2 linked regions of the Oryzias latipes genome follow. The protein of the gene in region 1 purifies or fractionates together with the protein of each later gene. This does not show direct contact. Links are inferred from orthologs where the notes say so. Each region holds a gene or a part of one and is shown in the gene's direction. Other genes may lie near its edges. The genes, in order: mkrn1 and pabpc4.

Region 1 (4,461 bases):
CTTTCTGATTACTTTTGTCCATGTAATCATGCAGCTAGTGAAAGAGGAATGTTGAGATACAAAGAATTACCAGTTAAAAACTGTTGGATGAACAGTGAAACATTCAGTTTTTATCATCGTAAATCTGCCAACCATCAACCTCACTGCACGTCACTGAGTAGTTGTGTGTGTTAGAGAGGGAGAGAAAAGGGTGAGAGAGAGAGAGAGAGTGTGTGTGGAGGGGGTATCTGACCTCCAGGGTAGTCGCTGTGTTAACTTTGGCTAAGCTGCATTTAATGTGTGTATTGAGGGTGGACACTTTCCTTGAAATAAACACAAGTACAATACTTGCTGTTGTTTTGTAGGGAGAGGAATGTTTTATGGAAAATAATACGGCTTTAATTGTGTGTTTGTGTGTGTACGTCGTGGCAGGTCAGTGCCTGGTGTGGCTCTTTGACTCTCACAGTGAAAGAATTTGGCTCTTGGTGTCAAACTTGTTCGCCACATCTGATATATATGATCATATATCACCTTTGGCACATTAAAGAAGGATTTTTTTAAAATGAAATATTAGTTGTTTTTGCAGCAAATTTCTTAACCGGAAGTGAAACGCAACAATCTCTGAGGCTCTGCCTCCTTTCCTTGTGGTTGCCGCCTATTTCATGATGTCAATCGAGAGCTGGCCTCGATGTGAAATGGTCTGCATTTCACCCACAAAAATGATCAACATCCAAACTTTTGCATTGATGGATTTGCATATTTTGCATACAAAAGGAACGCTTATCGCCAATCACTGCTAGCTCTGCAGAGGAAGCGGGTGTGTGTTAACCTGGAGGCGGAGCTGGCAGCACAGACTCTTTCTGGAGGGACTGTTCCTCACTTTGTGACGTCAAAGTGTGAGAACCATTATATAATACATAAGTGAACGAAGTGCGTGTGACATCACCCAAGAAATTGCTTTGCTTCCGGGTCCAAATAGTTTAAGTCAATTCAATGGACATTTTTCCGTGACATGTCTGTTGCCGTGTTGGAACCCTTACGTCCTCAGTAAGCCGTGATTGGTTTGTCTACATTTCCATGGCAACCACTCCCTGAGTCAGGAGTGAGCATGTTAGAAGGCCACACTCCTCCCACTGAAACCGAACTGGGGATAATCTGTCAATCAAACACTTCAAATGCTTGACATGACGCCATCTACTTTTATTGAGGCATCTGATTGGTCAATTTGTAACTTGAATACCATGCATGACAGCAAAATATAATGATAAAAAAATAGGATTAGCAAGACCATGCTAATAACAGCTATCAGTGCAAGAATGTAAGAAGTTGATTTTGCATGATATAGGTCTTCTAAATCTTTTCCATGTCTTTGTTTTTTTTTTTGTTTTGTTTTTTTTTTGGACATTTGGAACTCGAGTTTAAAAAAAATCATATTCAAAAAATTCTAAAAGCAAAACAAAGAACCGCTTTAGATAAAAAAGTACATACATAAAATAACAAGAGAGAACGTTAGATATCCGGGACATACGACAGTCGTGTAAACAGACTCTCGGAAAGGTTCGTTTTGAAATGTGTGTGACGGAAATAGCCGAGTTGAGGCGGACCTGTCCGGAACATCCGGCTGGGGCTCCTCAACATAAACAGAAATGGCGGAGGCAGCAGCAGCGTCTACGGCGGCGGTAACAGGAGGTTGGACCAAACACGTAACCTGCCGGTGAGCCACCGTAACCCCGCGATATAGTGTCCAGGGGGCCTGGGGTGTTGTTGGGCCACAGAGAAGCGGGGCTTCGGGGCGCGCGGCCGGCCGGCTGACGCCTGTGTCCGTGTTACTGTTAGCTTAGCTGTGTTAACGTCACCAGATTCCTCCGTTGCTGACTTGCTCTGCGTTAGCGCAGCTCCGAGGCGACTCACCGCCGTCTGCGCGAGCGACGCGGTCAGGATCTCACCGACAACCCGGGTCACACACACGACACCGGCCCCTCGAACTACGACCAAACTTAACCCCGTTTTAGCTTTTAATTTGAACGGAAGCGTCCTGCCGGCTTCCTGGCTCTGTTGCGGGGTCCCCTCCGAATTCCGTCCCCGGCGTCAGCCCCGCTGGTTGTCGGCCTGTGTGTTTGAGCTCCAGAGGAGCAGCTCGGCTCAAGTGCTGCGGGGAAAGTGCGACAAGTCAGCAGATTATTCCTCCATATGGATCTGCTCCTCCGTCAAAACTGAAAACATTTAGTTCAGGTCGTTCACCGATCACCGGGTCAGGGCAGGAGAACCGACAGGTCTGTCTGTCCGGTCCGGTCCAGATCCACATGATCAGGTCGTCCAGACTCTGCTGAACGACAGCATTTCAAACGAGACTCCTCTTCTGATTGTTTTTCTTCCTGTTTTCAGCATCTTGCTGCTGATGTTCCTTTACTTTTGGTTCCAAAATAGAACACTGGTTTCTATTGAAAATGAATAGAGCAGTGTTAATAATAATACAGCTGGAAGGAAACTTTCAGCTGGTTCAAAGTTTACACAGTTTGAACACTGAGCACGACCCACTCCAATGGAAATGTTTTTGTAGCATTTTTCTGATGATAAAGGACACATTTAAAGAAAATTATGACTAAACGTTTCATTTCTGGTTAGTTCTTTATTCAAATCATTGGGAAATGGGAGCAAACGAGGAAAAAAAGAGCAGTTTGAAAAAGATTGTAGTTTTTTGTAGAAACTACAACCAGCACAAGCTCCCTGCTCCACTCCATTCTGATGCATCCACCTGCAGACTAATAGATCCATGAACGTCTTTGTTTTCCTCATCTGAGTTGGAATCTGGATCAAAATTTGGAGAAATCCATTTTTGTTGCACCGCTAATGTTAGGTTGGGGGTGTGAGGGGCTGTAGTCTAGCTGGAGAGAGTTGTAAACAAAGGGATCATGGGAAATGAGTGCAGGCTTACCACACCTACAGTTGTGCCCACTACTCGCAGGTGAATTTCCAATAAGCTCCTCCTGTTCTTCAGAAACTATGTCCTAGAATATGACACAGATTTTGGGGAATTTTGTTTTAAAAAAAATCACAAAAGAGCACTGGGAACACTTTAAAATAGATCAAAAGATGATCTAATAACAAAGGTTTTAGATTTTTTTATTTTTTTTAGAAATACATGAAATGTTCTGGGGGCTGCACAGGGGTGTAGTGGTTATCACTCTTGCCTCTCAGGGTTCAAATCCCAGCTGGTTTGTTTCTGTGCAGGGTTTGCATATTCCCCCTCCTTCAGGTGTAACCCAACCTGTTCTCCAGGTTCTTAGTTTTTCTCCTACAGTCTAAAAACTGGCTTTAAAGGGCAAATGATGAATCCAATCCAAATTGTCGTCGCTTGGTGTAAATATCTTGACTTTCTCATAAATCTAACTGTAAACTCAAATTCAAAAATGCTGAGAAAACAAGGACAGATTCAATAGAGATGTCCTAGTTCTGCTTCCATTGTATTTTATATAAAGTCATTACAAAAACGGCCTGAAAACAGTATAATGTTTTATTATTGTTATTATATCATTGACATTAAAGCTGCAGGTGTGTCACGAGGAAGAGGGGCAGGGGGATTCACACCTGACAGGTCACAGGTCACACAAAAAACTGTAATGCAACAAACACGCTGCTAAAACACAATTGTGTTATTTATAAAAATGCAGTTTTTTATTCATGTCCAATGAATTAATTTTGTTGTATTGATCCGTCACGTCTTAACGGCCGGTCTGTGAAAATATTGTCCGATTTTAAACCGTCAGTGTTTACATTTAAGTGACAGAGGGAACAGCTCGTTAGCATAGCATCATAGCATTAGCGTCTAATAACAGCGCGGTCTCCATATCAACACGTTTTATTCATCTGATTGTTGCTGCTGTAAGTGAAGCAGCTTTTTATCCTCCAGTTCTGACTGGATCCTGGTAAAAATCACTGCATATTCCGCTGTTTCATCACTCAAAACTGAAAGCTACACAGGTGAAGTGACCTCATGTGCTTGTTTCACTCTCGTGCAGGCTGTAGAGGAGGAAAGGAGAAACAAGAAATTTACCAAATTGAAACGACTAAGTTTATGCAAACATTAACTTGTCATGTGATGATTAACCCGCTAACTTTTAATCTATAGTGAGTCTATTTTGATAGACTCATTCTATTGAGAAAGTTATATCGAAATATGTTTTATCATTTTATTGCCCATCCTTCACATGACACATTCTGATCATTTGGCTTTCTTGTCTGACATTTTGCAAAAATCATCCAATTGACCTCAAAGTAATTCATCTATTTATTTTTGTTAGTGTTAGTAAAAATAATATTAAAGTCTTTTCAGCTAAATTAGCATTTAGTAAGGTCTATTTTCAGGAGGCATTATAGCTGCAGTTGATGTAAAGTTTGGTAATGTTTTCTCTTTCCACTTTATGTTGGGTTTAACCTTTTTAGAGGTACAGCACAAGGACAGAAGCACAGACCTTTAAAGTA
Region 2 (3,821 bases), on another chromosome or scaffold:
CCGCTCTATGTGGCTCTGGCTCAGCGTAAAGAAGAGCGCAAGGCCCACCTCACGAACCAGTACATGCAGCGTATAGCTGGCATGAGGGCCATGCCTCCAAATGCCATCATTAATCAATTCCAGCCAACATCTGGCTACTTCATGCCAGCTGTGCCACAGGTGTGAGAACCAAAATCAAACTTGGTGGAGGACCTTTTTTAATAGGGGTTGCATGATGCAGACAACTACTGAGAAAACAAAGCTGACAAAATACCTGTTAAATATTATCATGAAAATGGTTTCATAGTAGCAGACTAGCACTTTAGCTCAAACTTGGTAAGAATGACAGTCCACTCCAATAAAAATGTTTTTTTTTGGTGTTTTTAACATATTCTTGTAGCATTTTTCTGATGATGGAGGACATACATAGAAAAAAGAATTAAGCTTAAAATTGCATTTCTGACTATTTCTGTATTCAAATAGTTGTGAATTAGGAGCAGGTGAAAAAGCATGCAGCTGTGACATAGTGCCACAATCGGCAGGCCACAAGCTCCCTGCTTTGCTCCATTCCAATACATGCACTTGTACACGACGAAATCCATGCACGTCTTTGTCTTCCTTGTTCGAGCTGGCATCTGGCTGAAAATTCCAAATCTGGATACCTCAGAAATTGCTCGCCATTTTTGTTGCACAGTATCATGTGCCAACAGTCCCCCCCACAATTCAGAGGTGAATTTCTAATGAACTACTGCCGTTCTGCAGAAACTATGTCCTAGAAAGCGACTGAGATTTTTTTTAATCTGGCTAAAAATGGCATAATCATAATCAAAAGACCACTGGGAACACTTTTACAATAGATCAAAAGATGACTGGGATGGGTTTTTTTAAACATCACTTTAAAAAGTTGGAAATGAGGCATGCATAACAGCTTGCATATTTCACATTGTAAATACTGTAAATATAACAGGAAATAACAGTCAATTTGGATCTTCTATTAGATTTTATGCATTTAGGTTTATATAACAGAATCAAACAGAACACAGACTCAATAAAAATGTGAAAATGGACAGTTGTTCAAGAGCAGGTGGTAGAAATTAAGTAAAATATAAATTAAAAAGTAAGATAGTGCAAATATTTTTGTACAGATTTTTAAAATTAAAAAAAAAGATTTCTCATCATTGGTAAAAATAAATCCAATTAAGTTTAGATTTAGACCCACTGTACCAACTGGTACCAACGTACCAAAACCTTATTGACACCAAGCAGTGAAATTTAACTGTCCAACAGCTTACAACAATAAAATTTAAATAAATCAGTTAATAAAATAATTAAGAGACAGATAAATGAGAAAAACTAGAGAACATATTAGTAACTGCACAGTAAGTGTGGAATGACTGAGACATGGCTGTAAAACACCTCCGCGAGAGGAATGTCATACCTTAACTTCTTTCCTCACACAGCATGTTGTGTAGAGAATGGTTGATACAAAGTCCCTCTGACCCACAGTTCAGTTTATTGCTGCTCCTTAATGTATTCCACTTTCTTTCCCATAAGGCCCAGAACAGAACGACATACTATGCACCCAATCAGCTGGCCCAGATGCGACCCAACCCCCGATGGCAGCAACAAGGTGGAAGAGGTCAAGGTGAAAGTGAAGCACATGATGCTGCATCTTTCTGTAAGAAAAGAAAAAAAACATTTTATTGGTATGATGAAATCTGTTTTCCTTCTGGGCTTTCATCGCTCTCAGGTGGTTTCCAGGGCATGCCCAGCTCGCTGCGTCAGCCAGGACCTCGCGGCAACATGAGGCACATGTCTCCCAGCGGCGGCTCTCAGGGCCCAAGAGGTGTGTTTGTATAGATTAGACTAGATTTAAAAAAGAGTTATGACTTGTATCTTAGTTTTCCTGTTTGCTGCTAGCATCCGGGCAGTCCATGGCCCCTCGTCCATCAATGGGAGTACCTGGTCCCCGAACTATGTCTCCTTACAAATACGCCACCAGTGTCCGCAACCCAAATCCCCAGGTGGTGCAGCCTATTGCCCTACAGCAGGTATTTATATTATTGTCCTGAAATATTGAATATCAATCAGACTTATCCTCTATAAACCAATGTTTTTGTTTCTTCAAGGCTCAGCCTGCTGTCCACATTCAGGGCCAAGAGCCACTTACAGCCTCTATGCTCGCTGCTGCACCCCCTCAAGAGCAGAAGCAGATGCTTGGTGAGTTCTGTGCTATGTACACACTGGGCATTTGACACATGATGTGGATTCTTGAACACGCTTTTAGCCCATGATGTTCACACTGGACTAACCTGTGCTAGTGCATGTACCTACAATTGGAAGAGGCTTGGTGCGAAATGCCAAAGCATATCATAATAATAATTGTTACTTTATTTATCCCACAATGGGGAAATTGTTCTCCGCAGTTGACCCATCCCACTCGGGAGTAGCGTTAAGGGCTTAAAGGGATGTTGATATGGTAATTCCCCCATTACCATTGTTCATTCCCCTCCAGGAATCGAACCCTGTGTGGTAATCTTTCACCTTACCAACCGAGCTACCCAGCTGCTTATCTTGTGTATCCAGGCTTTTTCTTTCACATCTCTATTCCAATAGATGAAAGACTTGGTGTCCTATGATTTCCGCCGGACACAAACCGCAACCATTAATTTCTCCTCCATGATCAATTTTCAAACTGTTGGCACTTCCGTGAATTATAATGGACGCTACTCCACATCCGAGTCCCTGATTGGTCAAAGTTTTACTGGTTTAATTTTCGATGCACATTCAATGGTCCACATTTTGTACGTAGAGCCCGAAAACTGACTTAAAAACTTGGGTAGTGTCACGTGAACGCGAGAGTTTTGAACGCATAAGCCTGAAACATGCATTTACATGGACTTTTTATTGAAAGTGCTTGAACATGCAAGCTCTGTAAACTTTTTGCCTTTCTTGAGTTCTCAGGCATTCACTGTGGTCTATTTCTGAACAGGGGAGCGTCTCTTCCCACTGATCCAGGCAATGCACGCCAACCTGGCAGGAAAGATAACCGGCATGCTGCTGGAGATCGACAACTCTGAGCTGCTGCACATGCTGGAGTCCCACGAATCCCTGCAATCAAAGGTGCTTTTTTTCACGCGCTAAAAATGTCAAAATACGCACTCACGCTAAAACAGTGTCTTTGATCAGGTGGAGGAAGCTGTTGCTGTGCTGCAAGCTCACCAAGCCAAAAAAGATGCAACCCAGAAAGTGGCAGGCATGGTTACTGCCACTGCTGCTGCTTCTGCTAATTCCTGAAGACCGGATGGCGTAAACACCTGGTTAACAAGTATATAAATAACAGTAATACTTGCTGTTTCAAGCATTTGTGATTTTGCTGTAGTAATAATGAATCATTGTGTCTTTTCAGAGGTAAACGAGCTGAGGTGAACAGGAACACACTACAAAATCCTTCAAACATGATGAAAACCAAGGAAAATACTTTCAATTTTGCAAAGTACTTGAATATTTTAAAAATCCTTAAAGTGGATCATTTTGTAACTCCATAATAATTTTTAACTGAATACCAAGATCAGAATGCAAATTTATCTTGAATACAAACTCTCTTTCAGTGGCAAAAGAGGGACGTCATTTTCATTAAAAAAACCAAACTGATAGGAAAGCCTTGAAGTTTGCCTTTGCTTGAAAGCTTCACATTTGACTAAACTGATGGGACTCAGTCCTATCATGTTAATGAGTGTGTGGTATTCTCAATAAACATGTTATATATTGGGCTTAGTTGTCTTTTATTTTGTTGTCTAAGGTATTTTACTCTTGACAGAGTTAAACCAGTATTCTAGTTT

The links.
Region 2: the proteins of mkrn1 (region 1) and pabpc4 purify together in Homo sapiens (affinity purification with mass spectrometry; 3 studies listed by BioGRID and IntAct, with this or other methods). This does not show direct contact. The link is inferred for Oryzias latipes from reciprocal best matches to the Homo sapiens genes MKRN1 and PABPC4.

The regions. Positions count from the first base shown.
Region 1 is NC_019881.2:11,673,086-11,677,546, reverse strand, and holds the start of mkrn1 (E3 ubiquitin-protein ligase makorin-1), read left to right. Parts: upstream 1-1,441; 5' UTR 1,442-1,625; coding exon 1,626-1,693; intron 1,694-4,461. UniProt on the Homo sapiens protein: E3 ubiquitin ligase catalyzing the covalent attachment of ubiquitin moieties onto substrate proteins. These substrates include FILIP1, p53/TP53, CDKN1A and TERT.
Region 2 is NC_019880.2:16,801,582-16,805,402, reverse strand, and holds the end of pabpc4 (polyadenylate-binding protein 4), read left to right. Parts: coding exon 1-159; intron 160-1,533; coding exon 1,534-1,624; intron 1,625-1,729; coding exon 1,730-1,825; intron 1,826-1,899; coding exon 1,900-2,030; intron 2,031-2,108; coding exon 2,109-2,199; intron 2,200-2,971; coding exon 2,972-3,102; intron 3,103-3,168; coding exon 3,169-3,276; 3' UTR 3,277-3,307; intron 3,308-3,388; 3' UTR 3,389-3,752; downstream 3,753-3,821.